Anolis sagrei: one gene and its partners. The protein of the gene in region 3 purifies or fractionates together with the protein of the main gene of each other region. This does not show direct contact. Links are inferred from orthologs where the notes say so. Each region holds a gene or a part of one and is shown on either strand. Other genes may lie near its edges.

Evidence for each region.
Region 1: the proteins of OTUD5 (region 3) and CTPS2 purify together in Homo sapiens (affinity purification with mass spectrometry; 3 studies listed by BioGRID and IntAct, with this or other methods). This does not show direct contact. The link is inferred for Anolis sagrei from reciprocal best matches to the Homo sapiens genes OTUD5 and CTPS2.
Region 2: the proteins of OTUD5 (region 3) and RUVBL1 purify together in Homo sapiens (affinity purification with mass spectrometry, with the first as the bait; 3 studies listed by BioGRID). This does not show direct contact. The link is inferred for Anolis sagrei from reciprocal best matches to the Homo sapiens genes OTUD5 and RUVBL1.
Region 4: the proteins of OTUD5 (region 3) and DNAJA1 purify together in Homo sapiens (affinity purification with mass spectrometry, with the first as the bait; 3 studies listed by BioGRID). This does not show direct contact. The link is inferred for Anolis sagrei from reciprocal best matches to the Homo sapiens genes OTUD5 and DNAJA1.

Annotation. Positions count from the first base shown.
Region 1 is NC_090023.1:90,167,757-90,175,206, forward strand, and holds the start of CTPS2 (CTP synthase 2), read left to right. Parts: upstream 1-4,440; 5' UTR 4,441-4,493; coding exon 4,494-4,654; intron 4,655-7,450. Other genes in the region: TXLNG (gamma-taxilin), read right to left, coding at 4,153-4,260. UniProt on the Homo sapiens protein: Catalyzes the ATP-dependent amination of UTP to CTP with either L-glutamine or ammonia as the source of nitrogen. Constitutes the rate-limiting enzyme in the synthesis of cytosine nucleotides.
Region 2 is NC_090022.1:55,532,650-55,540,583, forward strand, and holds the start of RUVBL1 (ruvB-like 1), read right to left. Parts: upstream 3,008-7,934; 5' UTR 2,914-3,007; coding exon 2,773-2,913; intron 1-2,772. UniProt on the Homo sapiens protein: Possesses single-stranded DNA-stimulated ATPase and ATP-dependent DNA helicase (3' to 5') activity; hexamerization is thought to be critical for ATP hydrolysis and adjacent subunits in the ring-like structure contribute to the ATPase activity.
Region 3 is NC_090022.1:178,620,029-178,627,687, reverse strand, and holds the start of OTUD5 (OTU domain-containing protein 5), read left to right. Parts: upstream 1-4,640; 5' UTR 4,641-5,233; coding exon 5,234-5,830; intron 5,831-7,659. UniProt on the Homo sapiens protein: Deubiquitinating enzyme that functions as a negative regulator of the innate immune system. Has peptidase activity towards 'Lys-48'- and 'Lys-63'-linked polyubiquitin chains. Can also cleave 'Lys-11'-linked ubiquitin chains (in vitro).
Region 4 is NC_090022.1:150,548,892-150,556,497, reverse strand, and holds the start of DNAJA1 (dnaJ homolog subfamily A member 1), read left to right. Parts: upstream 1-4,604; 5' UTR 4,605-4,799; intron 4,800-7,606.

The DNA of each region.
Region 1 (7,450 bases), on a different chromosome or scaffold from region 3:
AAGCTTGAAATGTCTTTACACTAGCAATTCATTTCTAAGATTATACAAACGAACACATTATTTTCTTTTTAATCATTGCAATTACTTGATGTCAAACTTTCCTTTAATTTATTTTGATTAATGTTAAGGGTGAAAGCTGTGCTTTTATTCAATATTCTAGCATGAAGATTATTTCTTGATAAAGTTTTGCACTATTTTTGCACAATTAAATATTATGTGCAGCTTAAAGGCACCAGATCTCTCATGATATTGAAAGCTAAGCATGGACAACCCAATCTCTACTTGGACGGGAGACTGCCAATAAATACTAGGTGGTGTAGGTGAAAGGGGAAGAAACTGACAAAATCACCTCTGAATATTTGTTGCCAAAGAAAACCCTAAGGAATTAATGGGCTCATCATAAGTCAATAAGTGACTTGTCAGCACACACATAAAACAATTTTGTGCTTTGTTGGCCCAACTGACAGAAGACTAGAAGAGATTACAGGAGTGCTTTGTTTCTTCTGCACCACTATTAATCAGATAAAGAACTTTTTTTGACAAGCATAGCCTTGTGGACTTCTCTTATTGTAGCTAGCTAAAGAAATGTATTCACCAGAGAACTCAACTATAAGATCAAAGACTTCCTCTGAAACTGTTCTTGACTTCTTATCTCTGAACCCAAAACTACAGAAAACTTTATTGCAATTAAATGCAGAACCTGTATAAATTCAGCAGTAATAGAATCTCACCATACTTTGCCAACCTGCTTCCACAGGAGCTTGCCTGTTTGGATTTATTGGAGGCCTTACTCTTGATGGCCTGTTTGCTAAACTATGGTATATGTTTACTACAGGTGAGGTAATATTTCTATGATAGCACTTCTTCTGAGTTCCTTCAAAATTTCTTGGCTATTTTCCAAACTCTTGCAAGTGTTAATCTATTGGTATTACATAAGATCACATCTGACTATAATATGGTATTAATAAATTATTATTACTTGGTTACTTAATTTGTATTTCTATATATAGTAAAGTGTCATAAGCTACTGCTTGGAGCACATGGAATGTAAATACCTTAAACAAAAAGCAAGCATTTAAAAGTAGTAAGAAACTGGAGTCCCTACTGATTCCACATCTTTATATCTTCTGTACCTAAAATGCCAGGCATTTGAGTTTCACATTTATTAATTTTCAATGGTACTTAACTTTCCCAAAACTTGTAATACATTTGAGCATGTAATTAATGTTTCTGTTCACACTGATGAGCAAAATAGTCTTATAATGATCATGATGAATCAGTGTTCCCTTTTCTGTAGTTGGCTCACTGTATCCATGGATTCTCTAGTCATGTGTTCACCACCCATGTCTTGAATATTTTAAAAAAGACATTACAAAAAGCAAATCTTACATTTTGCCATAAAAGGGCCACCATTTTACTATGCCGTTGTATTTAAAGGGACTTGAGAACCCATGGATTTTGGGTCCCTTCAAATGTTGTTTGTGTCCTGGAACCAAACCCCAGGGATATCAAGGGCCCACTTTTATAATAAAGCTAAGTTAGGATTTCCTTAGTAGTTAACCTCAGATGTTAAGAAAAAGTCTGGAGTTTTGCAATTGCCTAAGCAACCTGCTCAGAGACCTTTGGACATCATATGAGCCAAAGGAGCATGGCACAGCCAATCCTTTTTTCCTCCAGATCTGGAAGTGTTTTCAAGGAGGCAGCTACTGTGTTATCAGCATCTGAGCAGATGTGCTCCTCAACTTCTTTTGATGCTGGAAGACCTTGATAGGCACATTCCTTGGCCATGTGCACATAGAAACACTTTGTGCTTGAACATACCAGGACACTACTTCCATGCCTTTCCCAGTAGGCGCATGCTGTCCACCCTGCTTTCTCTACAGAAAGTTGTGGAGTTGGAGTGGTACCTGTGGGCATTCTGACCACTGTACAGAGAGATCAAAATGAGCAGAACCTGAGACTCATATTTTTTTTAGAAATCTAGCAAGATTCACTGACAATTCTAAATCCTTTCATGCGCCTTTCTTACTTCTTTGTGTGTGTGTGTGTGTAGTTTTTCACTTTCAAGGGAGTCCTGTGCCCCAAATCCCAAAGCTGGCTGTACTTAACACTTAACAGTTAGGAGGAAAGGGAGCCTCTTAGCCCAATTATTCCATACAAAGAATAAACAATAAACATCATTTTAACCCTTCCCAGGTAATTTAATTAGGAACTGGAAAAGAACTATGAGGAATCCCCAAAAGCAGCACAGTGTTGCCAACCATATTCTAAGGAGCTTTCTGGCATGAGGACAGACAGCTATGTCCTTTCCCTTCTTTTCTAGGTTCTGCTGCAGAGTAGGATTTGGCATTCTTCATTTGCTCGTGCATTAAAACACTCTTGAGTGCATCTGCACTGTCACGTTAGCGTAGTATGAAATCACTTTAACTACCAAGGCTCAATGCTATGAAGTCCTGGGAATTACAGTTTGGTGAGGCGGAGAAAGCAGCAAACCTTGCAATAACGATAACTCCTGGGATTCTACAGCATGGCAGTTTAAATAGTACCAAACTGCATTAATGTTACAGTGTAGATGCACTCTTAGTCCCTGTTCCAAAAGAATGGCAGGCCTGGCTTTGGTTGGTAAAATGATAGCACTTTATTTTTGTTTTGCGGCCTTCTTATTTTGATTATTGTTTTCGACAAGGTCAAATGTAAGATACTACACTTTGGCAGAAAAAATGGAATGCAAAGATACTGGATGGGTGATGCCTGGCTCAACAACAGTCAAGGTGAAAAAGATCTTGGAGTCTTCCTGGACAACAAGTTGAACATGAGCCAACAGTGTGATGCAGCAGCTAAAAACACCAAATGGATTTTAGGCTGCATCAAAAGGAGTATAGTGTCTAGATCAGTGATTCTCAATATGTGGGTCCCCAGGTGTTTTGGCCTCCCAGAAATCCTAGTCAGTTTACTATCTGTTAGGATTTCTGGGAGTTGAAGACCAAAACATCTGGGGACCCACAGGTTGAGAACCATTGGTCTAGATTGAGGGAAGTCATGGTACCTTCTATTCTGCTTTGGATAGACTTCACCTGGAATACTGTATCCAATTCTGGGCACCACCATTCAAAAGAGATATTGACAAGCTGGAAGGTGTCCAGAGGAGGCGACTAAAATGATAAAAGTTCTGGAGACCTATGAGGAGTGTCTTAAAGAACTGGGTATGTTCAGCCTGCAGAAGAAAAGGTTGAGAGGAGACAATAGCCATGTGTAAATATGTGAAAGGGTGTCATAAGAGGGTGCAGGCCTGTTTTCTGCTGCCCTTGAAAGTGGAACTAGGGTTCAAATTACAGAAAATGAGATTCCACCTGAACATTAGGCAGAACTTCCTTGCTGTATATGCTGTTCAACAGTGGAACTCTCTGCCTCAGAATGAGGTGGGAACTCCTTCCTTGGAAACCTTTAAACAGAGACTGGATGACCATCTGTCAGGGATATTTTGTGCTTTTCCTGTATGGAAGGGGGTTGTACTAGATGGCCCACATGGTCTCTTCCTACTCTATGATTCTGTTGTGAAAATGAGTGCGATATCCTTGGCTGTTGTGTTTTGTATTACACTGTGGGTTTTTTCTTCTTTTTGCAAGTTATCACAACTATAGCACAGCTTTTGTACAATAGTGAATTATTCTTCCTCCTTCCCTTTGTGTCTGTAGGCCTCTACAATGATATTTTAGATCGTGCACGTCAAAGGCATGTCATTTTATGCGGCCAGTAGGGCTTGCAATGCAACACAAGTTACATTTGTGCCTTACATGGGCAAACTTCGGCCCTCCAGGTGTTTTGGACTCCAACTCCCACAATTCCTAACAGCCTAGCGGCTGTTAGGAATTGTGGGAGTTGAAGTCCAAAACACCTGGAGGGCCGAAGTTTGCTCATGCGTGAGCTAGAGGCGTCCTTGCTGTGTTTCGTGGTGTTCCTGCAAAACGACATATAGGTTGGATGGTGGTATTAAGGACCACGATGGGACGAGGAAGAGGAGGAGGCGGCGGGACGGAATGGCCTCAGGCGCCGGAGCCCGCTTCCCTCGCGGCCGCGTGGAGCGGAGCCTCCTCTCCCCTCCCTCCTTCCTTCCCTCGCCCAGCCGCGAAGACAAACCCGCCGGGCTCTTACCTCAGGACCTCCGCGGGCTCCGTCCGAGGCCAAGGCCGCCTCCGCCTCCCCGCTGCGCCTCCCTCCCTCTGGCAGGTCCTGAGGAGCCTCTCCGCCGCGCGCCGCCATACTGTGACGGCAGGAGCCAAAACAAGCCGGCCCGCACCGGAAGCCCTCCTCCGCCGCCACATTCCCCGCCTCCTCTTCTTCCCTCTAGCCAATCACGGGGCGCGCTTTCTCTTGCCACGTGACGCCAAAGGACCAACCGGCTCACACCTCAGCCATTGAGAACTACTCCCCCCAGCATCCCTTGCGGCAGAAGCACATGGGGACACCTCTCTCTCTCTCTGTATGTACCTCCCATGCCCTTTCACTTGAGAGACACCCTATGGGGAAGGTTGCAGCCTATTAAGGGCTGTACGCTTTTCTCGGCGCGCGGAGGCGGCAGGCAAATGCTTCGCGCTGCAAGGGGCCCGCTGCTCTTAAGCCGCTCTGTCAGGAAAGTACAGGAGTTCAAGCCAGGGTGAGTCTCTTTCCGGAGAGGTTTCTCATCGTAGCTTGTATTCTCTCTGCTTTCGATGAGATCTCTGCATATTCACCTCTACTTTTTGGTGTGTTGTTCCAGACAAGAGCTTTATCTAAAGCCGTGGTTCCCAACCTTTTTTTGACCAGGGACCACTCTCCAACATTAGTACCTTACTTTATATACTTAGGCGATCCCTCGTTGTCCGAGTAGGATAATCCTCCAGGGTGGGTCCGTAGACGACTGTGGAGCCCTATTCTTGACCTGCATCTTCTCCCACAGTGAGGGCATCGGTTTCCAGGTGGGAAGCGGTCCTGGTCGGGGTTGGTTTGACGCACCTTCCTCTTGGCACATTTCTGTCTTTCGCCATCCATTTGTGCCTCTTCAAATTCTTCAGCACTACTGGTCACAGCTGACCTCCAGGTGGAGCGCTCAAGGGCCAGGGCTTTCCAGTTCTCTGTGTCTGTGCCAGTTTTTAAGGTTGGCTTTGAGCCCATCTTTAAATCTCTTTTTCTGTCCTCCAACATTCCGTTTTCTGTTCTTGAGTTCGGAGTAGAGCAACTGCTTTAGGAGACGGTGGTTGGGCATTCGGACATGTTGATTGCAGAGGACCATCACTTCAGTGCTGGTGGTCTTTGCTTCTTCCAGCATGCTGATGTTTTCCACTTGTCTTCCCAAGAGATTTGCAGGATTTTCCAGAGGCAGCACTGATGGAATCATTCCCAGAGTTGCATGTGACGTCTGTAGACAGTCCACATTTCACAGGCATATAGCAGGGTTGGGAGGACAATAGCTTTATAAACAAGCACCTTGGTATCCCTACGGATGTCCCGGTCCTCAAACACTCTCTGCTTCGTTCGGAAAAAAGCTGCACTCACAGAGCTCAGGCGGTGTTGTATTTCAGTGTCAATGTTGACTTTTTTGGAGAGGTGGCTGCCAAGGTAGCAGAAATGATCAACATTTCCTAATGTTACACCATTAAGCTGTATTTCTGGCATTGGAGAAGGATTGGCTGGTGACTGCTGGAAAACTTCGGTTTTCTCGATGTTCAATGACAGGCCGAGCTTCTCGTATGCTTCTGCGAAGGTGTTTAGAGTGGTTTGTAGGTAGACTTCTGGATGTGCACAGACAATGTCATCAGCATATTGAAGTTCTATAACAGATGTTGTTGTAACCTTAGTTTTGGCTTTCAGTCTGCTGAGGTTAAATAGCTTACCATCTGTCTGATATGTGATTTCAACACCGGTGGGAAGCTTCCTGTCAACAAGATGAAGTATCATAGCGATGAAGATGGAAAATAAAGTTGGGGCAATAACACATCCCTGTTTGACATCTGATTCCACCTTAAATGGGCCACTCTGGGAGCCATTGTTGTCCAAAATCGTTGTCATCATGGAGGAGCCGCAGGATGTTCACAAATTTGTTAGGGCACTCGATTTTTGGAGGATGGTCCAGACATTAGTACCAAAAGGGTTACGAATCAGTTTTTGGTCAACTTTTCGTTTGGTTATTTAGGGTGCTGATTCAGAAAATTGCATTGGATAGACCACATCAGCTCTAGTTTCTGATACAGAGCATATGCCATCCAGTAGTGGCCATCTGCTTGCCCACAGAATTATAGAATCATAGTTGGAAGAGACCTTGTGGGCCACCCTGTCCAACCCCCCGCCAAGAAGCAGGAAAATTACATTCAAAGTACTTTGAATTGCATTTCAAAGAAAACAGTACTTAATAAGCCTTGGCACTATAAGAGGGTTTCGTGAGACCAGTCTCGCTCTCATTGCAACAGTATAGTAATGGTGAGGCCACGGACCATATTTTAATTCTTGTGGACCACTGGTGGTCTATGGACTACAGATTGGGAACCATTGCCTTAACAGATGCATCTACACTGTCAACTTAATGCACTTTTACACCATTTGAACTGCCATGGCTCAGTCTCTGGAATCCTGAGATTTGTAGTTTGGTGAAGTACCACCACTCTTTGGCAGGGAAAGCTAAAGATCTTGTGGAACTACAACTCCTAGGATTCAAGAGCACCGAGTCATGGCATTGGGGTCAAAATGTATTCATTTGACATCCCAAATCCCCATTCCTCTGTTGTCATCCCGATATGTATTAAGCAATACATTCTATTGGCTTCTAGTACTCGTACATTCAGGGCAAAGAACGCAAGTTGTTTTTAAATTTCTTGTTAAGTAAAGCACCTCTTAGATCTTTCAGACATATTTGTCATTGCCTTCTAAAAAAAGTTCATGCCCAGTTTTATACGGATGTTTGTGGCACAACTCCACTACATTTGCTGAATTGTCTGCCTTAAATTATGAAGCATTTCCCCATTGTACAAAATACCGGAAATTGAGCACATAATGCATACTGTTACCATTGAAAGTAAATATATTGTAATTATAATGTGTGCCTTCAAGTCACTTGTTGAATTCCAGTGACCCCCCCCCCCCCCCCCGGCTTTTCTAACCTCGGACGGGACTCAAGTCATTTCAACCTGCTTCTAGAAACAAATTCATCTGGTGGGAGTTAACTGAACCATACATTTGACAGGATCCATACTACAAAAGGACCTAAGCTAAGAGAACTGGGACAACTATGTCCAACATTATTCATGATTCAGGGTACAGAACTATTTGGTTCTGTCTTACCTGCCAATAAATAAGGTTGAGTTGGGTTTACACCAATTATTAAACCAAATAAGCTGTTTTACTCCTGGCTGAAGGTGCTGAAAAGCATCCCTTTGCTTTTATGGTACGGGAAAAGTACCAGATGTTCCAAGTGCCTTTG
Region 2 (7,934 bases), about 120 Mb from region 3:
ATTAGTAATTCCATTATAAATTTGATAATTATTATTATATAAACCAGCTTTTATTATTTCCCAAATATACAATAATGCACAACTCCTTACTCAATATAAGCAAATAACAGCGAAAGTAATAAAAACGTATACCTCTCCAGTTGAAAAACTGTCTATAGAAATAGACAATTTATCCCGGCTTCTAAGGCTATTTGCAACACTCTGCAATGCTGGTTAACTGGCATAACTCCTCTCTGGCTAGGTGGTTATAGCAATGCTTAACTAATATAATGTATACAACTGAGCCACAATGGTGAAATAAGTTTATTTATTTTGTGTCAAAAGCATTGCATAAATGAGTATAAAACTGATAAAATAAAGGGAACACAAGCAGCTAAAAATTTAGACCAAAAACAGGCAACAGCAACTGTATTGTCTGTAGCTTTAAACAGTTCTTCCTCTGTGCATGTGGCAGGGCATTGTGGGCAAGCATACAGATGCGGAGTTGTTTGTTCTGCTCCACAACAGCAAAAGGTAGAGGATTGTTCTAGGTACTGCCATTTTGCCAGATTGTCTTTTGATCTCTCAACACCACTTCTGAGTCTCTTCAGGGACTTCCAAGTTGCCCATTCTTGGTTTGCCCCTGGAGGAAGATCCTCGTAGGGGGCTATCGAGTTGGAATAGCCCAATTTTTCTGCCCACAGGGATATTCAACAGTGAAATAAGTTAAAACTTCTATAAGAAGCTAGACTTGTTATATGGAGCATACATATATGAAAATGTGCCTAGAATGGGATATGAGTATGTAACTACACAAGTTACTTGATTTATTGTATACTGCAAATCACTTCTGGTGTGAGAGAATCAGCCATCTGTAAAGACGTTGCCCAGGGAATGCCTGGATGTATTACCACCCACATTATCACAAGATGTCTACGCCCTTTACTACTGGAAACATTGTACTGTTTAGCCAGTATTGTACCACCTGATAACCTTCAGGAAGTAGCAACCAGTAATGAAAGGACCAAGGCATTGACATCTTCGGCCCATCCTCTGTACAGATACCAGCCAGCATGCCAATATCTTAAATAAAGAAATAGCCTCCTAAGACCTACAGAGATATGCGTAGGACAGTGATGGGCAACCTTTCGAGTTTGGTGTGTCAATACTCGCCAAAAAACCGAGCATAACTCGAGTGGGGTGTCACTTCGAGAATAACCCATAATTTCATGATATTTATAGTTTAATAACAAAAATATATTATTGTAATATATAACTGTATTTAATAAACCAAAAACTAATTATTTAAGTTACCTGCTTTTTCTATAATGCCATATATCTCGGCATCATAGAAAAATGCTGGTGTAGGAGCCGAGGATTAAATGTCTTCTCTGTATGCTGCCGCATATCATCGAAAATGGCTATGCGTGTCTGTGCTGACACACGTGTCATAGGTTCGCCATCATGGGCGTAGGAACACTTCGGCAAGTGAGAATCCAAAAGTGGCAGGTAAAAATCTGGAACCTCAATCAGTGGCTGATTTTGTTGTTGTTGTTTATTCGTTCAGTCATTTCCAACTCTTCATGAGCTCATGGACCAGCCCACACCAGAGCTTCCTGTCGGCTGTGGCAACCCCCAAGTCCTTCAAGGTCAAACCAGTTACTTCAAGGATTTATTTATTTACGACATTTATATGCCACCCTTCTCACCCTGAAGAGGACTCAGAGCGGCTTACAAGGTGTATATATATACATACGATATATTATATTATTAGCAAAGTACAATATCAGTATTAAATATTACTATATTGTACTATACCACTATATTGTAATAGTAATATTACATGTAATATAAATATATAATTATAATATCATATTATTATTAGTATTATAAGGAGCCCCCGGTGGCGCAGTGGGTTAAGCCCCTGTGCTGGCAGGACTGAAGATCGATAGGTCATAGGTTTGAATCCGGGGAGAGGCGGATGAGCTCCCTCTATCACCTCCAGCTCCTCATGCGGGGGCATGAGAGAAGCCTCCCACAAGGATGATAAAAACATCAATTCATCTGGGCATTCCCTGGGCAACTTCCTTGCAGACGGCCAATTCTCTCACACCAGAAGCAACTTGCAGTTTCTCAAGTCGCTCCTGACACGACAAAAAAAAATAGTACTAGATTGCATTACATTATAACATTATAAATATTATACGTATATACAATATATTATATTACATTATGTTATATTATTAGAATAGCACAGGAGACAAGGTGGAACTGTCCCCTGGCCCCCTATCTCTTCACTCTGGCCCAGATGGATGCCATCCATCCATCTTGCCCATGGTTGACCTCTTTTCCTTTTTCCCCAGCATCATTATCTTCTCCAAGCTTTCCTGTCCTCTCATTACGTAGCCAAAGTACTTCAATTTTGCCTGTAATATTCTTCCTTTCAGTAAGCAGTCAGGCATTATTTCCTGGAGTATGGACTGATTCGATCTTCTTCCAGTCCAATAATTTTTCTCCAACACTACAGTTCAAAAGCATCTTCCTTCACTCAGGTTATGAGGAGTCTTGAATTTGTGGGTCTGGACCAGGCCTGGGCCAACTTGGGCCCTCCAGGAGTTTTGGACTTCAATTCCCACCATTCCTCAGCTTAAGCGGCTGAGGGGGAAAAGGAAAGGGCCTGAGGCTGTGAGGAATGGTGGGAATTGAAGTCCAAAACTCCTGGAGGGCCCAAGTTGGCCCAGGCCTGTTCAGTCCCTTCAAAGGGGCCTCCCTCTTGGCCTGAGGCCTTCTCACCTCCCTGGCGTTCTCCTGCCCGACCAGCCCCGCCGCCGCTGCCTTGGCCGCGCCGCCCTCGTCCAGGCCCAGGCCCTTGACATGGCTGTGGGCGGCGATGCGCTGCGTCTTCGAGGTGCTCTTCACCTCCTCGATCTTCATCCTCGACGCCTCTCTCTTCGCCTCCGCCCCACGCGCTGCTCACAAGCAAATGTGCCGCGCGTTACCAAGGCTCCCGGCGCTCGAGTTCCGTATCCCCGCCCCCTCCGAATCATTGGCTGCTGGCAGAGGATTCTCCCTGGCCATTGGACGAGACCGCTGTCACTCAGTTCAAGCCCCGCCTACAGAAGTTGACTTGGTGCGGCGTAGAAAGATCTCCGGTGTCACCCTGGCACTGAGGGAGGAAGGTACCGCGCGAGGAGATCATTTAGCATTGGGCCTTTTGAGGGTGGCTCAGCACAAGAATTAGGGCGTTGTACTTTTATCTTCTAATCAAGGTGAAAGAAGAAAGGGCAAAAGCTGGGTTGCATCAAAAAACCAAGATTATGGTAACAAGAATGATTGACAACTGGGAAATAGAAGGAGAAAACGTGGAGGCCGTGACAGACTTTGTATTTCTAGGTGCAAAGATGACTGCAGACGCAGACTGCAGACAGAAAATCAGGAGACACTTACTTCTTGGGAGGAGAGCAATGACTAATCTTGATAAAATAGTGAGGAGTAGAGACATCACACTGGCAACGAAGATCCGCATAGTTAAAGCAATGGTATTCCCCATAGTCAACTATGGATATGAGAGCTGGGTCACAAGGAATGCTGAGCAAAGGAAGATCGATGCTTTTGAGCTGTGGTGTTGGAGGAAAGTTCTGAGAGTGCCTTGGACAGCGAGAAGATCCAACCAGTCCATACTTCAGGAAATAAAGCCCGATTTCTCATTGCAGGGAAGGATAGTAGAGGCCAAGATGAAGTACTTTGACCACATCATGGGAAGAAAGGAAAGCTTAGAGAAGACAATTATGCTGGGGAAAATGGAAGGAAAAAGGAAGAGGGGCCGACCAAGGGCAAGATGGATGGATGCAATCCTTGAAGTGACTGGATTGACCTTGAAGGAACTGGGAGTGGTGACGACCGACAGGGAGCTCTGGCGTGGGCTGGTCCATGAAGTCACGAAGAGTCGGAAATGACTGAACAAATGAACAACTTTTACCAAGCTTAGAGCCAAAAAATGCTCGTGGGCCATCCAGTTCAACCCCTTTCTGTCAAGAAGCAGGAAAATCACATTCAAATCAACCTAGACAGATGGCCATCCAGCCTCTGCATAAAAGCCTCCAACACACTCTGGGGCAGAGAGTTCCACTGCTGAACAGCTCTCTGGAAGTTCTTCCTAATGTTTAGGTGGAATATCTTTCCCTGTAGTTTGAAGCCTTCCCCATCATACACCACAAAACAATACACCAATCCCTCCACACCCCAACCACCACCACACTGCCCCCAATGCCACATCAGTGTGAAACTATTGAGTTCAACATAGCCACAGCTCTAGGAAAAAAGCTATCTCTCAGTCTGCTTCTCCTTGTCTTTGTCACCCTGTACCATCTGCAAGATGGCAATAATTAAAAAAAAAATGACAGGTGAAATGGATCCCCAAGAATGTTCTGAACTTTCTTAAAGCAACAGGACTTATAAAGGTCTTCCAAACAGGGGAAAGAGCAATTAATGATTCTCTGTGCAGAAGTGGTGATCCTTTAGAGTGCCTTCGTGTCTGCCACTGTGCAGTTACCAAACCATGCTGAATAGCTCTCACAGTCAGAAAGTTCTTCCTCATGTTCAGGTGGAATTGCCTTTCCTGTCATTTGAAACCATTGTTCTGCGTCCTAGTCTCCAGGGCAGCGGAAAACAAGCTTGCTCCCTCCTCCCTAAGACTTCCCCTCACATACTTACACATGGTCTCCTTTCAGCCTTCTCGTCTTCAGGCTTGTCAATACCTATTGGTTTTAACTAGTTTTTGCCTCCGCAGTGCAATACATTTTTAAACCCAATACAATTTTTTAACTGTGTATTTCTTGTGATATTGTTTTAAAAATTTTCATTTATGAGGTTGTTGTTTATTCATTCAGTCGCTTCTGACTCTTTATGACCTCATGGACCAGCCCACACCAGAGCTCCCTGACAGCCCATCATCACCCCCAGCTCCTTCAAGGTCAAACCAGTCACTTCAAGGATACCATCCATCCATCTTGTCCTTGGTTGGCCCCTCTTCCTTTTTCCTTCCTTTTCCCCCAGCATCATCTTCTCCAAGCTTTCCTGTCTTCTCATTATGTTTATGAGTATTGGTTATATATTGTGTCTTGTCTTTTTAGTTTCTGCTTATGTATGTATTGTGACTTGATTCCGTTGTGAGCCGCCCCGAGTCCTTGTGGGGAGGGGTGGGATATAAATAAAATTCATTATTATTATTATTATTATTATTATTATTATTCATCTGGTGTTAAAATTCAGTGACTAGATATAGTTGACAAGTTAGCAAATAATAAAAAATGTCAGCATAGCTGGATCCTATAAACAGCACATCCCATGTGATGCTGCATATTTCTGGAGCAGCCAATACAAATTGGGTATCCCTTATCCAAAATCCTTATGACCAAAAGTATTTTGGATTCATATTTATAATGGAACACACACGCGCACGCACACACACACATCATGATATGTCTTGGAGGTGGGAACCAATCAAAATATAAAATTGATTATATATACACTGTACACATAGCCTCTTGGTACATAATATCTAATAATTTTGTGAATCAAACAAAAGTGTATGCACATTGAACTATTAGAAAGCAAAGATGTCAGTTTCTCACATCCATGTGAACAATTTTTTAATTTTGGAGTATTGTATTTCAGATTTTCAGATAATGGATGTTGAACCTGTATGTTGCTTTAGGCCTTCTCCATGGAAGTGGATGGTTGTTTCCCATAACAAAGGACTGAGGTTATTCAGACCAAGCTGCCCACTGACATAGCTGATCAGAAAAACTAGTTCACGAGACTCAATGCTGCAAGCAGTACAACAATCTTGTGCCATACTTCTAGTAGACATGGCCTTGTTGATCTGTTTCTATATTAAAAGTTATAAATTAAGACATAAAAACTCCACCCATCAAATTGAAAAGTACACTATGAATATATCCTGAATACATTGCATGTAAATCATCTTGTTTTGTTCATTGTTTTCATTTGTTCATTGTCTTGAAGTGATTTAGCCAGGACCACAGATAGGAGGATTTGTGCCCGATGAGGGTATGCTAAACCAAAAAAGCCAGGACAGAGAAAACAACTCATCAGGTTGAAGATAAGCCACAGAGATTTATTACAATTCAGCCAGAAGGGATGCAGGTACAAGTAATTTGCTTTAAAATGTACAAGCATAAACATGCGGGGAATGTAAGACATCTTATACAATTCTGACAGCCATTCAAACCTCCCGCCACCTCCTCTAATTGGCCAGAAAAGAGGATGGCTCTTTTCCCTGCTGGGATTGATCGAAAGCTCTGCTGACATCACAGCTTCCAGGCAGGGATTTGCTTGTCGGGGAGGATGGCAGCCGGAGATTGGTCAGAGTGAAGAACCAATCAGCTGCAGAGGGAGCGATCTTGGAGAAGATAATACCAATTATATGTTAATGAATTTTTGAGTAGCTCAATTGTTCAGTTCCATGTTAAACGAAGATATGGAGCTCCAGAAATAAAGGTGTGAGACTCGGAGGACAAAGGTGCCAGTCCTAGGCAAGCAAGGGCTTGGCTGTCAACAATGGAGTTAATGAAAGTTCACACTTTAAGCTCCTGTTCCCATGACGGAGCACCAGGCTCTCAACCTCAGGTGAATTACACCAACATCTGGCTTATGTTGCTGGCAGGGGAAATCACCTTTCTGTACATAATGAGCCTGATGATTATCTGGCTTGGGAAATAGCCAGAGGGATTTGCCCAACCTTCCTATTCTCAGGGGATTATCTCAGAGGGTGTCTGTCTCCGGGCTGCATTTTGATACATTTCTACAAGGTAATTTATACATTTTATACAGGAAAGAGATACAGTATATGGCTAAAAGATACAAGTTACACAACAATAATAAAATAAATACAATTTATTAAAGGGTTAGATATGATATATTTAATAGGAGTACGGCTGCTGCTGGATCTGTTCTCAATCTTCTGAAGTCCTGAACTTGTGCTATTCTGGACCTCTGGAAACGACCTTTTTTAATAAAGAAGGAAAAATCATATATTGGTCCTTGGTGAACTATAAAGCATTGGGGTGGGGAGGGGGTTACCATGGCTTGATAACAGTCCAAGGAGCCCTTGTGGGCTGTAAGGTGCTTACATTTCTTTAAATATATATATATACAGTAACAATTATAAACTTGTTGTTGTTGTTCACTCGTTCAGTCGTCTCCGACTCTTCGTGACCTCATGGACCAGCCCACGCCAGAGCTCCCTGTCGGCCGTTACCACCCCCAGCTCCCTCAAGGTCAGTCCAGTCACTTCAAGGATGCCATCCATCCATCTTGCCCTTGGTCGGCCCCTCTTCCTTTTGCCTTCCACTTTTGCCTTCCACTTTCCCCAGCATAAATTATTTCCCCAGCATAATTATAAACTTATACTTGTATTTAAAGATATAATAGAATCTTGTTAATAGCTTGGTGACTGAGAAAAATACCTATTACAAACCTTTCTGAATGAAGTAGACTGCAACCAATGAAAGCTTATTCTGGGATTTTCTTTCTGTTCTCCATGTTGGAAGGTTGAGTATTCCTTTATATTTTTGAATACAGCAAGCCCTCAGTATCCACAGGTTCTGCTTCAACAGAATCAACCAATCAAGCATTGAAATATATATATATATACACACACACATATGCATACACACATACCCAAAGCAAAGCTTGATTTCGCCGCATATTGAATACTACATTGATGAGTAGGCATGGCTTCCTGCCATTTCACAGTTTCTCATGCTTTCTGCAGTAGTCATTTGAGTTGTTTTCTGTAAGGGATGCCAGCATTTGGTATCCACTTTGGTATCCATTTTGGACCTGAAATCTTGGAGTCTGGGATAATTGTGACCTGACAAGCCTAGGCCCAATGTATCCTGCCATAGTGCAGTTTAATTGCATTATATGAG
Region 3 (7,659 bases):
ACGGTACAGAAATAGTAAGGCCCTTTCCACTCAGCTGCATAAAATCCACATGGAACTGGATTATATTGCAGTATGGACTCAGATAAACCAGTTCAAAGCTGATATTGTGTATGCCTTGATATTCTGGGTTATACGGCTGTGTGGAAGGGCCCTCAGGGAGACAAATATATTTATTACTAGTTTCTAGTTTGGATACAACATGTGTGAGAGTTACGTGTACACAGTAGATACATACACACTTGGAGACTGACAGACAAATATAGAAAGCAGAGCAAAGACCTACAGATTGAGGCCTAAGTCCCTCAAGGTTCCCCAAGGAGCCACTCTGACCAGAGGGATTGTTCACATTATAAATATCTCAACGTCACCTTAGAACAAACACCAACATTTAGGAAACACTGTATGAACACCAAACACAAAGCAGCTGCGGAAACATAACAGGTAGTGCATGGGATGCAGACCCAAAATTGATAAGAACATGAGCCCTGGCATTGTCTTACTCAACTCTCGAGTATGCCTGCCCCGTCTGGGATAAGTGTGTCCATACAAAGCAGGTGAATATAGCAGTGAATATAGCATGTAGATCAGTGGTTCTCAAAGACAGAAGTGGAAAGAGATCTTGAATGGATTTATGTATGGGAGGCCTTGATGAGTTGTTCTGAACCTGTGGGTTCCCAGGTGTTTTGGCCTACAACTCCCAGAAATCCCAGCCAATTTACCAGCTGTTAGGATTTTTGGGAGTTGAAGGCCAAAAACATCTGGGGACCCACAGGTTGAGAACCACTGATGTAGAATAATCACAGGATGTCTCAAATCTACACCTGTTGAAAGACTTTATAAGCTAGCTGGCATTGCCCCCCACCCCCAAAGCCCCAGAATGGAAGTTGCTGCCAATTGCAAAAGAAATAACAAAATATGGTTATCAGCCTTTTCCCAGTAGGGTCAAATCAAGTGCCACAACATCCCACTTAAAGGCTATGCAAATCCATAAAGAGGACACTACAGCTTTTCAAAAGTCGAAAGACTTTGTTATCTGGTGGAAATTTAGATCATCCCAGGCCTAGCCTAAGACAGTTTGCTGCTTGGGACAGACACAACAGCAAATGTCTTCTCCTCAAGGCCAAGGAAAAGTTTCACAAGAAACACCACTCCTCTAAATGTTTCCCCAGCAACAGCAAGAGTATCCTTGTGGGCAGCCAAACCAGGAAATCCCAGGATCTTCGTCCAAGGGCAAAATAAGAACAGGCAACTTGGAAGTCCCTGGACAGACTCAGAAGTGGCGTGGACAGATCAAAAGATAACCTGGCAAAATGGAACTACAGTATTCCCTCGCTACTTTGCGGTTCGCTTTTAGCAGACTCGCTGTTTTGTGGGTTTTTGAAAATATTAATATTAAATATTAACTTCCAGTGGAGGCCAGGGACCCCTGAAGTGCGTTGGCCTGAGGCACAGCGGGAAAGGCCTGCCTCCCTGGCCTGCTGCTGCCTGCATGGCTCTGGTGGCTCTGCAGAGACCGGGGAGGCAGGTAGGTGCACTTGGTCAATGTAACTGGCTCCTTTGGGATAGATTGAAACAAAGAATCATGACGTGGAGGAAAAAGGAAGGCCCAGAAACAGATTTTGATCAAATGTTAAAGTGGAAACTAGAAAAGGAGAAAAGCCTGATGGGGTTCATATACAAGAGATTAGTTGGAATTCGATATAATTTGAAACAAGAAATAGAAATATGGAAAGAGGATTTAAATAACAATGATTCAGACATTGAACACTGGATCAATTCATCTATATTCCTTCACTCAGCCCTCCCTATGGTCTCACATCCATAGGTGACTATGGGGAATGCCATTGCTTTAACTATGCGGATCTTGGTTGCCAGTGTGATGTCTCTACTCTTCACTATTTTATCAAGATTGGCCATTGCTCTCCTCACAAGAAGTAAGCGTCTCCTGATTTCCTGGCTGCAGTCTGCATCTGCAGTAATCTTTGCACCTAGAAATACAAAGTCTGCCACTGCCTCCACGTTTTCTCCCTCTATTTTCCAGTTGTCAATCATTCTCGTTGCCATAATCTTGATTTTTTTGATGTTTAACTGCAACTCAGCTTTTATGCTTTCTTCTTTCACCTTGATTAGAAGGTTCCTCAGCGCCTCCTTGCTTTTGGCCATCAAAGTGGTATCATCTGCATATATAAGGTTAATGTTTCTTCCAGCAATTTTCACCCCAGCCTTGCATTCGTCAAGCCCCGCACATTGCATGATGTGTTCTGCATACAAGTTGAATAGGTTGGGGGTTTTTTTGTCGTGTCAGGAACGACCTGAGAAACTGCAAGTCGCTTCTGGTGTGAGAGAATTGGCTGTCTGCAAGGACGTTGCCCAGGGGACGCCTGGATGATTTGATGTTTTTATCATCCTTTTGGGAGGCTTCTCTCATGTCCCCGCATGAGGGGCTGGAGCTGATAGAGGGAGCTCATCCGCCTCTCCCTCTTCGCCTCTTCGAACCGCCTCTTCGAACCTGCGACCTGTTGGTCTTTAGTCCTGCCGGCACAGGGGTTTAACCCACTTCGCCACCGGGGGCTCCACATCAATTTGTAATAATTTTCTTTAACATGTATCGATAAATTCTTTAAATATCTTTGATCCCATAATTGTACCCAATCCACTTCGTTTATTCTAATCCCTAGGTCTTCCTCCCATATCTCTCTTAATGTTGCATCCTTTATTTTTTCCCCCCCTTAATATCAATTATTATCTTATACAATTTGCTGGTTATTCCTTTCAACTTGTGGTATCTTCCCGTAGCTCTTCCGTTTTGTATCATTTGTTCAACTTGCGTGAATTTGCCACCTTCCCCATTATTTTTTATCCAATTCTTGAACCATTGCTCTAACTGTAAGCAATGGAACCATGAGAGTTTAATATCTCTAAATTCTCTCAATATAGTTTCTTTCCTCATGTTTATTTGTCAGATTTATTTGTCGTGTCAGGGCAACCAGTCAATTATATTACATTTCTAACAGAACAAAGCAAACAAACAGACAAAATACAAAATTTGTGAGTTTGGTAGTTGATTAAATGTCCTTTGACCAGTATCTGACCACTTGGAGTGCTTCCGGTGTTGCTGCAAGAAGGTCCTCCATTGTGCATGTGGCAGGGCTCAGGTTGCATTGCAGCAGGTGGTCAGTGGTTTGCTCCTCTCCACACTCGCATGTCGAGGATTCCACTTTGTAGCCCCATCTCTGAAGGTTGGCTCTGCATCTTGTGGTGCCAGAGCGCATTCTGTTCAGCGCCTTCCAAGTCGCCTAGTCCTCTGTGTGCCCAGAGGGGAGTCTCTCATTTGGTATCAGCCATTGGTTGAATCAGCCAATAGTGAAAGGACCAAGGCAGAGACATCTCCAGCTCATCCCCTGTTTGGGTATCAGCCAGCACGTCAATGACTTAAATCAAGACATAGTTTTCTTAGATCTACAGAGACACTCGCTGGAACACCCCAGAATGCGAGAGTCCAAAAGTGGCAGGCCCAAACCCAGCACCTCAATTCATGGGTGATACCAGATGAGAGACTCCCCCCTGGGCACTCAGAAGACTGGGCGACTTGGAAGGCGCTGAACAGACTGCGCTCTGGCACCATGAGATGCAGAGCCAATCTTAAGAAATGGGGCTACAGGGTGGAATCCTCAGCATGCAAGTGTGGAGAAGAGCAAACCACTGACCACCTGCTGCAATGCACCCTGAGCCCTGCCACATGCACAATGGAGGACCTTCTTGCAGCAACACCGGAAGCACTCCAAGTGGCCAGATACTGGTCAAAGGACATTTAATCAACTACCAAATTTGCAAAATCTGTGTTTTTTTCCCCCCTTTTTCTTTTTAATCTGTGTGTTTGTTTTGCTCTGTTAGAATTGTAATACAATGGTTGCCGATGACACGATAAAAAAAAAGCCATTGGTTGAGGTTCTGGGTTTGAGCCTGCCACTTTTGGACTCTTGCTTGCTGAGGTGTTCCAGCGAGTGTCTCTGTAGATCTTAGAAAACTATTTCTAGATATAACATATTAGATAAAAAATATTACATATAACATATTAGCTAAAAAATTAAGAGAGAAGAATATAGATTTTTAAAAGCGGCCTTTTCCTTAATTGGGAGAGGGGGGAAAGGAAAGAGGCTGAGACTGTGAGGAATTGTGGGAATTGGAGTCCAAAACACCTGAAGGCCCCAAATTTGCCCAAGAATCCTTGTGGAGCAGAACAAATCACTCCGCATCTGAATGCTTGCCCTCAAACCAGAGGGAGGCTGTACAGAAGGGAGCCCGAAGAACCTGCCTCTCAGCCTATCAACGCCAGGGATTGCTTTCACCCAATCGGAAACAGCCCTCCGCTATTAGCCAATCATAAACCAGAGAAGCGTCTCTCCTCGAATCCACTTCCCAGGCCCCTTTCGGCATGCTAATCCGCCGCTTGCCTTCAATGGCATCGGGTGGCAGGAGGGAATGTAGAAAAGAGGCGGGGCCTCGCCTGAGTGACAAGCGCCGCTGGCCACTCGGCGAGGGGCTTCCGTCTCCGCTCAGCCACTGAGCGTGGAGTCACGTGCAGCAGCCTTTGAGAGCGGCGCCGTTGCCAGGGCCCTCCCCCGTCGCTAAGGAGGAAGGGGGGCGTGGAAACGGAAGTGGAGTTCGCCGGGGTCAGAGGCCGGCTGTGTTGATGTTGACACTAGGCCGGAGCTGTGGAGTAGTAGGCGCCGCCGCCGCCGGGACGCCGCGCAAGGCCCGAAAAGCTGTCGTGAGGGAAGAACGAGGCGGCGGCGGTGGCGGCGAGAGTTGGCGGAAGCAAGTCCGGCAGGGACAGCGGCGCCTCTTGGGGGCTGACGGGGCCCGCTTCCTCTTTTGACCCGCCTGGCGGGGGGCGCGATGCGGTTGTGATTGGGCCTGCCATCCGGGCATTCCTTCCCTTCCTCAAAGAAGTGGTTCCTCAGCGGGCCCTCCATCCGGGTCCCGGGCCTCTCCATCCGGGTCCCCGCTCTCCATCCCAGCGGAGGGGAGAGGGCCTCTTTCGCCCCTCTCCTCCGGAATCCCCAAACTCCCTTCCATACGGGTACTTCCTTCCTTCCTTCCTTCCTCACCCCCTCCTCCTGCATCCCCAGTGCCTTTGGGTTAACTGTCACTGCTTAGCCTCTCCATCCGGGGACTTGTGCCCCTCACGCGCGGCTCGGGACTCCTCTGCTTGCCCCCTCCCTCGGTTGCCATGACGATCCTGCCCAAGAAGAAGGCCTGCCCGGCCGCCGGCGACGGAGACAGGGACCAGCCGGGCTCCCGAGGGGGCGGCCAGGGCGGTCCTGGGGGACCCGGCGGCGTCGGGGGCCCGGACCCGCGGGGCTGCTCCGGCGCGGACTCCCACCCTCGAGGCCCCAGCGGCGTAGGCGTCGGCGGCGGAGGCGTCGGCGGGCCCGGGGAGCGCGGCGGAGCTAGGCCGCGAGCCTCGCCGCCACCCCCGCCGCCTCGTTGGGGGCTGCCCCCCGCCGCTGGCTCGCCGCCGCCGCCCAACCCCGGCGTGGGGCCCTGTGGTGGAGGCGGCGGGGACGGCTCGGGCCTGTTGGATCCCGGCGTGGCCGAGTCGCGAGGCGGTGGAGGCGGGGGCTGCTGCTCGGGGCCTGGACACAGCAAGAGGCGGCGGCGCGGCGGGCCCGCAGGAGGCCTTGGGGGACCCTCGGGGCCTGGAGGAGGCGGCGGCGGAGGCAACAGCCCCGAGCAGGACGAGGCCGGCGCTGGCTACAACAGCGAGGACGAGTACGAAACGGCCGCCGCTCGCATCGAAAGCATGGACCCGGCCACCGTGGAGCAGGTACCGCCTCAGGAGATGGGGCTCAGTGCCTGCAAAGAGAAGGAGTGGGGCCTTGCGCCCTCCCTGCCCTGTCAAATGAGATTAGTGGCCCCACCAGGCTAAGGGCCCTTCCACACTGCCATATCAAATCCACATTGAACTATTTATTTATTTATTTTCGCTCACTTCTACCCCACCTTTCTCAGCCCCCTAGGGGGGACTCATTGTGGCTTACAACCGGCACAATTCGATGCCAACAATTCAACAGATAAAATACATAGCAACAATAACCACAATAGTTAAAACATTCAATTAATACAATAACAATTATATATTTATCTTACACAGTGGTTCTCAACCTTCCCAATGCCGCGACCCCTTAATTCCTCATGTTGTGGTGACCCCCAGTCATAACCCTAACATTATGAATTGCCATGTAAATAATGATCTGCAGGATGTACTTTCATTCACAGGAGCAAATTTGGCACAAATACCTGGTATGCCCAAATTTGAACCCTGGTGGGGTTGGCGGGGGGATTGATTTTGTCATTTGGGAGATGTAGTTGCTGGGATTTACAGTTAACCTGCGAACAAAGAGCATTCTGAACCTCACCAACAATGGAATTGAACCAAAGTTGGCACACAGAACTCCCATGACAAACAGAAAATACTGGAAGTGTTTGGTGGCCATTGACCTTGAGTTTGGGAGTTGTAGTTCGCCTACATGTAGAGAGCACTGTGGGCTCAAACAGTGATGGATCTGGACCAGACTTGGCACAGATACTCAATATGCCCAAATGTGAAAACTGATGGGGTTTGGGGAAAATAGACTTTGAAATTTGGGAGCTGTGCTTGCTGGGATTTATAATTGACCTACAATCAAGGAGTGTTCTGAACCCCACCAATGATAGAATTGGGCCAAAGTTCTCACACAGAACCCCCATGACTAACAGAAAATACTGTGTTTTTTGATGGTCTTTGGCGACCCCTCTGACACACCTTCGCGATCCCCAGGTTGAGAAACACTGATCTTACATGTAATATTACTAATAATATTACAGTATAATTGATATAGTGCAATATAGCAATATTTAAAACTTATATTGTACTATGTTAATAATATACTGTATGTATATATACCTTGTAAGCCGCTCTGAGTCCCCTTCGGGGTGAGAAGGGCAGCATATAAATGTCGTAAATAAAATAAATAAATAAACAACTAAAAAGCCAATCTAGTGGCCAACGTATCCGTAAGTCCATTCAGCATTACCATAGTCCTTTCCAAATTCTGGTCGTCATTACCTTGTCAGTCTGCCAGATTACCCAAAGGCCTGGTCCCATATCCATGTTTTCAGCTTCCTTCTAAAGGAGAGGAGGGATGTTCATGACCTAATTTCGCCAGGGAGTGAGTTCCACAGGCGAGGGGCCACCACTGAGAAGGCCCTGTCCCTCGTCCCTACCAGCCTCACTTGTGATAGAGGCGAGGCCGAGAGTAGGGCCTCCCCCAAAGATCTTAGACTCCGAGGTGGGACATAGAAGGAGATATGTTTGGACAGGTAAACTGGGCCGGAGCCCTCTAGGGGGATTATATGGCAGTGTGGACTCATAATCCCTGATCAGAGCAGATTTTGTGGGACTTTCTGCTTTAATATTCCGGGTTATATGTCTGTGTGGAAGGACCCTCAGACCCCTTCCACGCTGCCATATAAAATCCACGTTGAACTAGATTATATGGCGGTGTGCACTCATAATCCTGTTCAGAGCGGATTTTGTGGGATTTTCTGCTTTAACCCCTTCCACATTGCCACATAAAATCCACATAATAATAATAATAATAATAATAATAATAA
Region 4 (7,606 bases), about 28 Mb from region 3:
GGATCAATTCAAACGGATCTAGATTTTAATGAGCTTGTTATGAAAACTAGACTGGCCACAGGTCAACTGGAATTAATAGTGTTTTGTCTGTTTCGGTGCAGAATCTCACTCAACAAAAGAATTGAGGCTGGATAGGAGTTGTAGATACTGGGATGTATAGTTCACCTGCAATCTAAGAGCACTCTGAACTCCACTAACAATGGACCTGGAACTAACTGCCATACAATTAAATTCAAAGCAGATAATCTGGATTTGGAAACTGGATTAAATGGCAGTGTAGAAGGACCTCAGATCCAATTAGGCCTGAGTCACACTGTTAATACAATAACATCTTCTATCTTCTATCTATACACATAATAAAAGTGAAAATATGTATATGTGTTCGGCTGGGGTGTCCACTTACACAGACAAGTCCTGACTCCACAAACAGCTATAGCTCCCACTACTCAGGAGACACCAAAAGCCGTCCCTTCAATTACATTGCAGTTTATAGTGAGTGCCGTGAATATATACAAGAGCCATGCCAATGTCCTCCACAAACACCATACTGCCTACCGCCCAAGTGAAGGCTTTCATATGGGGACAATTTCATTCTAGAGTTTACGTGTTTCTTCCTCCAGAGACATCCCAGTGTTTCTTACTCTCTCCATTGGTATGGAATTTGCATGACCCTGCCCACTGCATCTCCCTTAACTATTTCCTATTATTTTCTATGGCACACATCAAACAGAGGAATTGATCAGCAACTGAACATACTAGAGAGGTCTGGGGAGAATTCACCATGAGTTATTAGTTGTAGGTACTGGGATGTATAGTTCACCTGCAATCTAAGAGCACTCTGAACTCCACTACAGACGGACCTGGAACTAACTTGACACACAGAACCCTCACAACAAACAAAAAATACTGGAGGTCTTTGGAGGGATTTATAGGAGTTGGATCTGGACCAGACTTGGCATGCGTACCCTATATTCCCAGATTTGAATACTGGTGGGTTTTGAGGGGAATTGGCCTAGCCATTTTGGAGTTGGTAGGTACCGGGATTTATAGTTCACCTGCAATCAGTTAGCACTCTGAACTCCACCAAAGATGGAATTGGACAAAACTTGACACACAGCCCCCATTTCCAGCAAAAAAATAAATAAAAATACTGGAGGTCTTTGGGAAAAATTAACATTGATTTGAGGGAGTTGTAGTTCACCTATATTCAGAGAGCACAGTGAACCCAAACACTGATCGATCTGGACCAAACTTGGCACATACCCAATATGCCGAAATTTGATTATTGGAGAGGTGGGGAGAGCGCGGGGGGGGGGGGGGGGGAAACTGACCTTCCTTTCTAGGAGATGTCATTCACCCACAACCAGAGAAATAGTGACCTCCACCGATAATGGACCTGAACTTGACACACAGAACCCCCATGACTAACTCAACCTACTGGAGGGGTTTGAGGGTACAGACTCACCATAGTGGGAGGTGTAGTTTATGCTGCAGCCAGAGAGCACACTGAACCCCACCGATGATGCATCTAGAGTAAACTTGCCCAACATAACAAACGTTAAGTACTGATGGAGATTTTCGGGGTTAACCTGGCATGCTGTGAGTTGTAGTTCACCCACAACCTTATGCACTTTGTATAACTTAAAAATTGACTTTTTCAAATAACCCAGGCAATGCCAGGTACCCAAGCTAGTTTATGGGAATATAATATTAGTATATTACTGCCTTAGGAATATATTATGTATTGAATACAATTATTAAATAAAATTATTGAATATGCTGAATGGTTTTTAATTGTGAATTTTAATACTGTTTATATTTAATTCCGTTTTAATATTTGAATATTTGTATATTTGAAATTGTGTACTGTACTAATGCTTTTATATCAAGCCACTTTGAGTCCCCTTTGGGAGAGATAAAGCTGGGTAGAAACAAATATAATATTAATAATACTATACTATGATAATGGATGAGTTGGAATATAAATGCACTGAGTAGTGTGTATGGAAGAAAATGCCAAATTAGAAAATACTCTTAGGTATTGTGGCCACATTATGAGGAGACAGGAAAGCTTAGAGAAGACAATGATGCTGGGGAAAATGGAAGGAAAAAAGAAGAGGGGCCGACCAAGGGCAAGATGGATGGATGGCATCCTTGAAGTGACTGGCTTGACTCTGAAGGAACTGGGGGTGGTGACGGCTGACAGGGAGCTCTGGCGTGGGATGGTCCATGAGGTCATGAAGAGTTGGAAATGACTGAACGAATGAACAACATTGTAGGAAATATTGCTGGTTGGCCTAATAAAGGCAAGAGCCTCCAAAATGAATTTTGGCGTTTAACGGCAGACATTTGAGGCTCATTCTACATAGTTGTATAAAATACACATATAGCTGGAATGTGTCCAGAGGAGGGTGACTAAATGATCAAGGGTCTGGAGAACAAGCAGGCTTAAAGGAGCAGCTTAAAGAGCTGGGCATGTTTAGTCTGAAGAAGAGAAGGCTGAGAGGAGACATGATAGCCATGTATAAATACGTGAGCGGAGGTCATAGGAAGGAGGGAGCAAGCTTGTTTTCTGCTACCATGGAGACTAGGTCGCGGAACAATGGCTTCAAACTACAAGAAAGGAGATTCCATCTGAAATTTAGGAAGAACTTCTTGACTGTGAGAGCCGTTCAGCAGTGGAACTCTCTGTGTGGTGGAGGCTCCTTCTTTGGAGGCTTTTTAAACAGAGGCTGGATGGCCATCTGTCGTGGGTGCTTTGAATGCAGTTTTCCTGCTTCTTGGCAGGGGGTTGGACTGGATGGCCCATGAGGTCTCTTCCAACTCTATGATTGTGTATGACAGTGTGTCAGATATTTTAGTTCAAAGCAGATATTGTAGATCATCTGAGTTGATATTCTGGATTGTATGGACCTTAGGCTCCTTGCATACAGCTATATAAAATCCCACATTGTCTGCTTTGATCTGGGTGGGTTATATGGCAGTGTGGACTCAGATAACCCAGTTCAAAGGAGTTATTGTGGGATTTTGATATTCTGGGGGCCCTTCCACACAGCCATATAACCCAGAATATCAAGGTAGAAAATCCCACAATATCTGCTTTAGTGGGTTATCTGGAGTCCACACTGCCACATATCCCAGTGCAAAGCAGATAATGTGGGATTTTATTCTGCTGGGGAAGAGGCCTGAGTCCACACTGCCCTATAACCTAGTTCAATGTGGATTTTATATAGTTGTGTGGCAGGGGCCATAATACTGGTATTGTACTATGCTAATAATATAATATATATATTGTGTATATATATCTATATATATTGCAACAAGATTATGGCAACAAGAATGATTGACAACTGGAAAATAGAGGGAGGAAATGTGGAGGCCGTGACAGATTACTGCAGACGCAGACTGTGGCCAGGAAATCAGAAGACACTTACTTCTTGGGAGGAGAGCAATGTCCAATCTTGATAAAATAGTAAAGAGTAGAGACATCACACTGGCAACAAAGATCCGCCTAGTCAAAGCCATGGTATTCCCTGTAGTCACCTACGGATGTGAGAGCTGGACCTTCGGGAAGGCTGAGCGAAGGATGATCGATGCTTTTGAACTGTGGTGTTGGAGGAAAGTTCTGAGAGTGCCTTGGACTGTGAGAAGATCCAACCAGTCCATCCTCCAGGAAATAAAGCCCGACTGCTCATTGGAGAGAAGGATACTAGAGACAAAGTTGAAGTATTTTGGCTACATCATGAGGAGACAGCAAAGCCTAGAGAAGACAATTATGCTGGGGAAAGTGGAAGGCAAAAGGAAGAGGGGCCGACCAAGGGCAAGATGGATGGATGGCATCCTTGAAGTGACTGGACTGACCTTGAAGGAGCTGGGGGTGGTGACGGCCGACAGGGACCTCTGGCGTGGGCTGGTCCATGAGGTCACGAAGAGTCGGAGACGACTGAACGAATGAACAACAACAACAACAATATATAGCAAGCTGCTCTTAGTCCCCTTCGGGGCGAGAAGGGCGGCATATACATATCTATATAAATAAAAATGTAATGTTCGTTTGTGGGATTAACATAACTCAAAAATCACTGGATGAATTGACACCAAATTTGGACACAATATACTTATCAGGCCAACAAGTGACCAATACTCATAAAAAACACTGAAAAACACAGAAGAGACATAAAACAGGGAAAAAAATTAAAAAATTATAATGCAGGTGCAAAATCACATATACACATATATACAGAGTGGGCCACAGCAACGCGTGGCAGGGAACGGCTGGTCGTAAATAAATAAATATGTTGTATGGCTGTATGGAAGAGCCCTTAGATTCGCCTGAAAGGTGAGTAAAACTACCCTTGTTAATAAGACCACGCCACCTGCAATGAAGCCAGACTTCTTTGTGAGGCGCGTTGCATTCTGGACGTCGAAGTCTTTCTGACAGGGCCAAAGAAAGGTATTCACGGGGGAGAGGAGGCATGCCGGGATTTGTAGTCCCCGGCGGGCGACGTCACGGCCAGGGAGGCTTATGATTGGGGGTATGCCACGGTTTGCGAGAAAGCTGGCCAATAGCAGCGCCTGGAGAGGAGGGCGGGGCTTTCTTGAAAGGGAAAGGAAACTCCCCGGATGCTGCCTAGCCTAGCCTGAGACCGGCTCGGAACTTTCCAGAAAAAGTCAGCGCGAGAAGGAGAAGGAAGAAGGAGAGGAGGCTCGAGCCGGCTGTTAGAAGAGAGAGAGAGAGATAGAGAAAGAGAAGACAGGGCTGCTTTCATTGTAAGCCTGCGTTTGGGTCGAAAGCGCGAGTGAGTGAGGGACAAAGGAAAAGCCGGGTGGGGTGGGGGTGGGGTTGGGGTTGGGGGTGGGGGAGGGGTCTCCTCAGCTACCTTCCCCCCCCCTCCTCTAGTTCTCCACAAAGAGAGGGCGCGCGGGAGAGAGAGGGAGGGAGGGAGGGAGGGGGGAGCGCGCGACGGTTAGGTCAGCTGACTCCGGGTTCTGAGAGAAGGCAGAGAAGGGGATTTGGCGGGAGGGAGGGAAGGAGAAGGGAAGGGAAGTCGGGCCTTCGTGGGTGAGGGAAGGGGGGGGGGAGAGAAAGAAAGCGGAGTCGTGGAGTGGGAGACAGCGCCCTCCACACAAGGGACCCCTGCAAATGGGACTGCAGTGGGTGCCCCTTCTGTGTCACGTGATGGAGCGAGGGAGGCCCTTTTACATAACAGTCTGTGGGGAAGAAGACCCCCCCCCCCTTGTAAAGTTGGGAGCCTTCCACACACAGCTGAATAAAATCCCACGTTTTCTGCTTTGAATTGGAATATATGGTAGTGTGGACTCAGGGTACTTTCCACGCAGCCATATTGCAGGACCCAGGATATCAAGGTAGGAAACCTCACAATGTCTGCTTTGAACTGGAATATATGGCAGTGTGGACTCAGGGCCCTTCCACACAGCCGTATTGCAGGACCCAGGATATCAAGGCAGGAAACCCCACAAGATCTGCTTTGAACTGGTATTCTGGATCATATGGCTGTGTGGAAGGGCCCTTATTCTAATTGCTATTTGACACAAGAAAAGAGTTAGGGGGTGTTTTTTTCCACGGAGGCTCCAGTGGCTCTATTATCAGGTGGGGCTGGAAAGAGAAGCAATGAGGGGCAAACTTGGTTTGCCTGAAGCACCGCTTTCCCAACATTTCTTTAGTCACAGCATCATTTCGCAACACAGTTGTTCTGTTTTTAATAGCTAACTAGAGGTAAACCAATCCCGTTGAAGAGAATACAGGCACCTTCTCAACATGATAAGAGTACAAATCAATAAACCTACAAGGAGAATCATCATGTATGGCAGGCATGGGCAATCTTTGGCCCTCCAGGTGTTCTGTATTTCAACTCCCAAATTCCTAGCAGTTTATGGCTGTTCGAAATGGTGGTGGTTGAAGTCTGAAACACCTGGAGGGCCAAAGGTTTCCCATGCCTGATGTATGTGACAACAACAGCAAGTGCTGGTAGATGTAGACCTTTAAAGCCCTAGACCAGTGGTTCTCAACCTGTGGGTCCTCAGGTGTTTTGGCCCACAACTCACAGAAATCCCAGCTAGTTTACCAACTGTTAGGATTTCTGGGAGTTGTAGGCCAAAACACCTGGGAACCCACAGATTAAGAACCACAGCTCTAAACAGTTCAGGTCCAGGCTATTTGGCCAGCTGCATACCCTTGTATGAATCTGCCCCAGCCTTGAGATCTTCAAGAGAGGCCCATCTCTCGGGGCCCTTCCACATGGCTATATAACCCAGACTATCAAGGCACAATACCCCACAATATGTGCTTTGAATTGGGTTATCTGAGTCCACGCTGCCATATATTCCAGTTGAGAACAGGGAATATATGTGGGATTTTATTCAGCTGTGTGGAAGGGGCCTCAGTCCCACCTCCATCTGAAGCTCAGAGAGAGTGGGCCTTCCTTCTCCGTAGGTGGGTGCTTCAATACTCTGGATCTCCCTTCTTCCTAGGGAAGCCAGAATGGTCCCCTCCCTGCTGTCCTTCTGGTGGCAGGCTAAAACCTTCTGAATCAGGCAGGTTTTTAAAGAAGGTTTTTAAGATTTAGTTATGGGGTGCTGTGGTTTTAAACTTTGAATATGTTTTTATGGATTTTAATGTATTTTTTTAGTGCTACCTGTGTTTTTGTTTTAATGTGTATATATTTGTACATTTTAAATTGTGTACTAATACTACTGCTCAAGCCACTTTGAATCCCCTTTGTGGAGATAAAGCGGGCTATAATAATAATAAAATAATAACAATACAAATGAATAAACCTGTAAGGATTATCATCATGTATGTGATTACAACAGCAAGGATAGTATTGGCAAAAAAGTGGAAAATAACGGGAGTACCTTCTAATCTATGATTGACAACTGAAATTAAGAGAAGCCATGGAAATGACAAATTTACTAGAACAATGAAGGGGGGGGGGGTCTCTAAGCAAGGTGCTGAAAAGTGGGAGAATGTAGATAAATACTTGAAGGAATAAGTCATCTCTGTGAATAAAAATAAGTATTGGCTATTTAAGATTTAAGATTCTGCTTTTTCCTAAATGGGATGCAAGAAGACTTAGGAAAAATTTCAACCTCGAAAGGAAGGAAGTATTGTTTTTGTAGTTATAGTTTATTTGGATTATGTTATGATTGATTGTTTTGTGTGTTGTGTTTTCTTTGTATTTTATGGTGTAGTATGCTTTTGTTTCTTTCTGAAAATCAATTAAAATGTTAAAAAAAAGGAGATAAAGACACACACATATATTGTAATAAAGGAAAGTATGGGGGACACAACATATCACATGAAAAGCTTCTGTTTGTATATTTTTAAAAATGTATATATGATTTGTAAGATGACATACATTTCCAAGATTTACTGTATGTCATTTCTCATTATGTTTGCGTTACACATCTACACATGACAGCCGACATACTAAACAGTTTGGAAAGCTCTGGTGTAGATAATCCAGAGTAATTGGTGCGCAGAGTGAGGCAGCGCAAGAAGATACAAGTTTGGTCTCACCAGAGGTCTCTTTATGGGCACAGTCTTTGAGGAAATAAGGAAGTGGGCTGAACTCATGACATCATA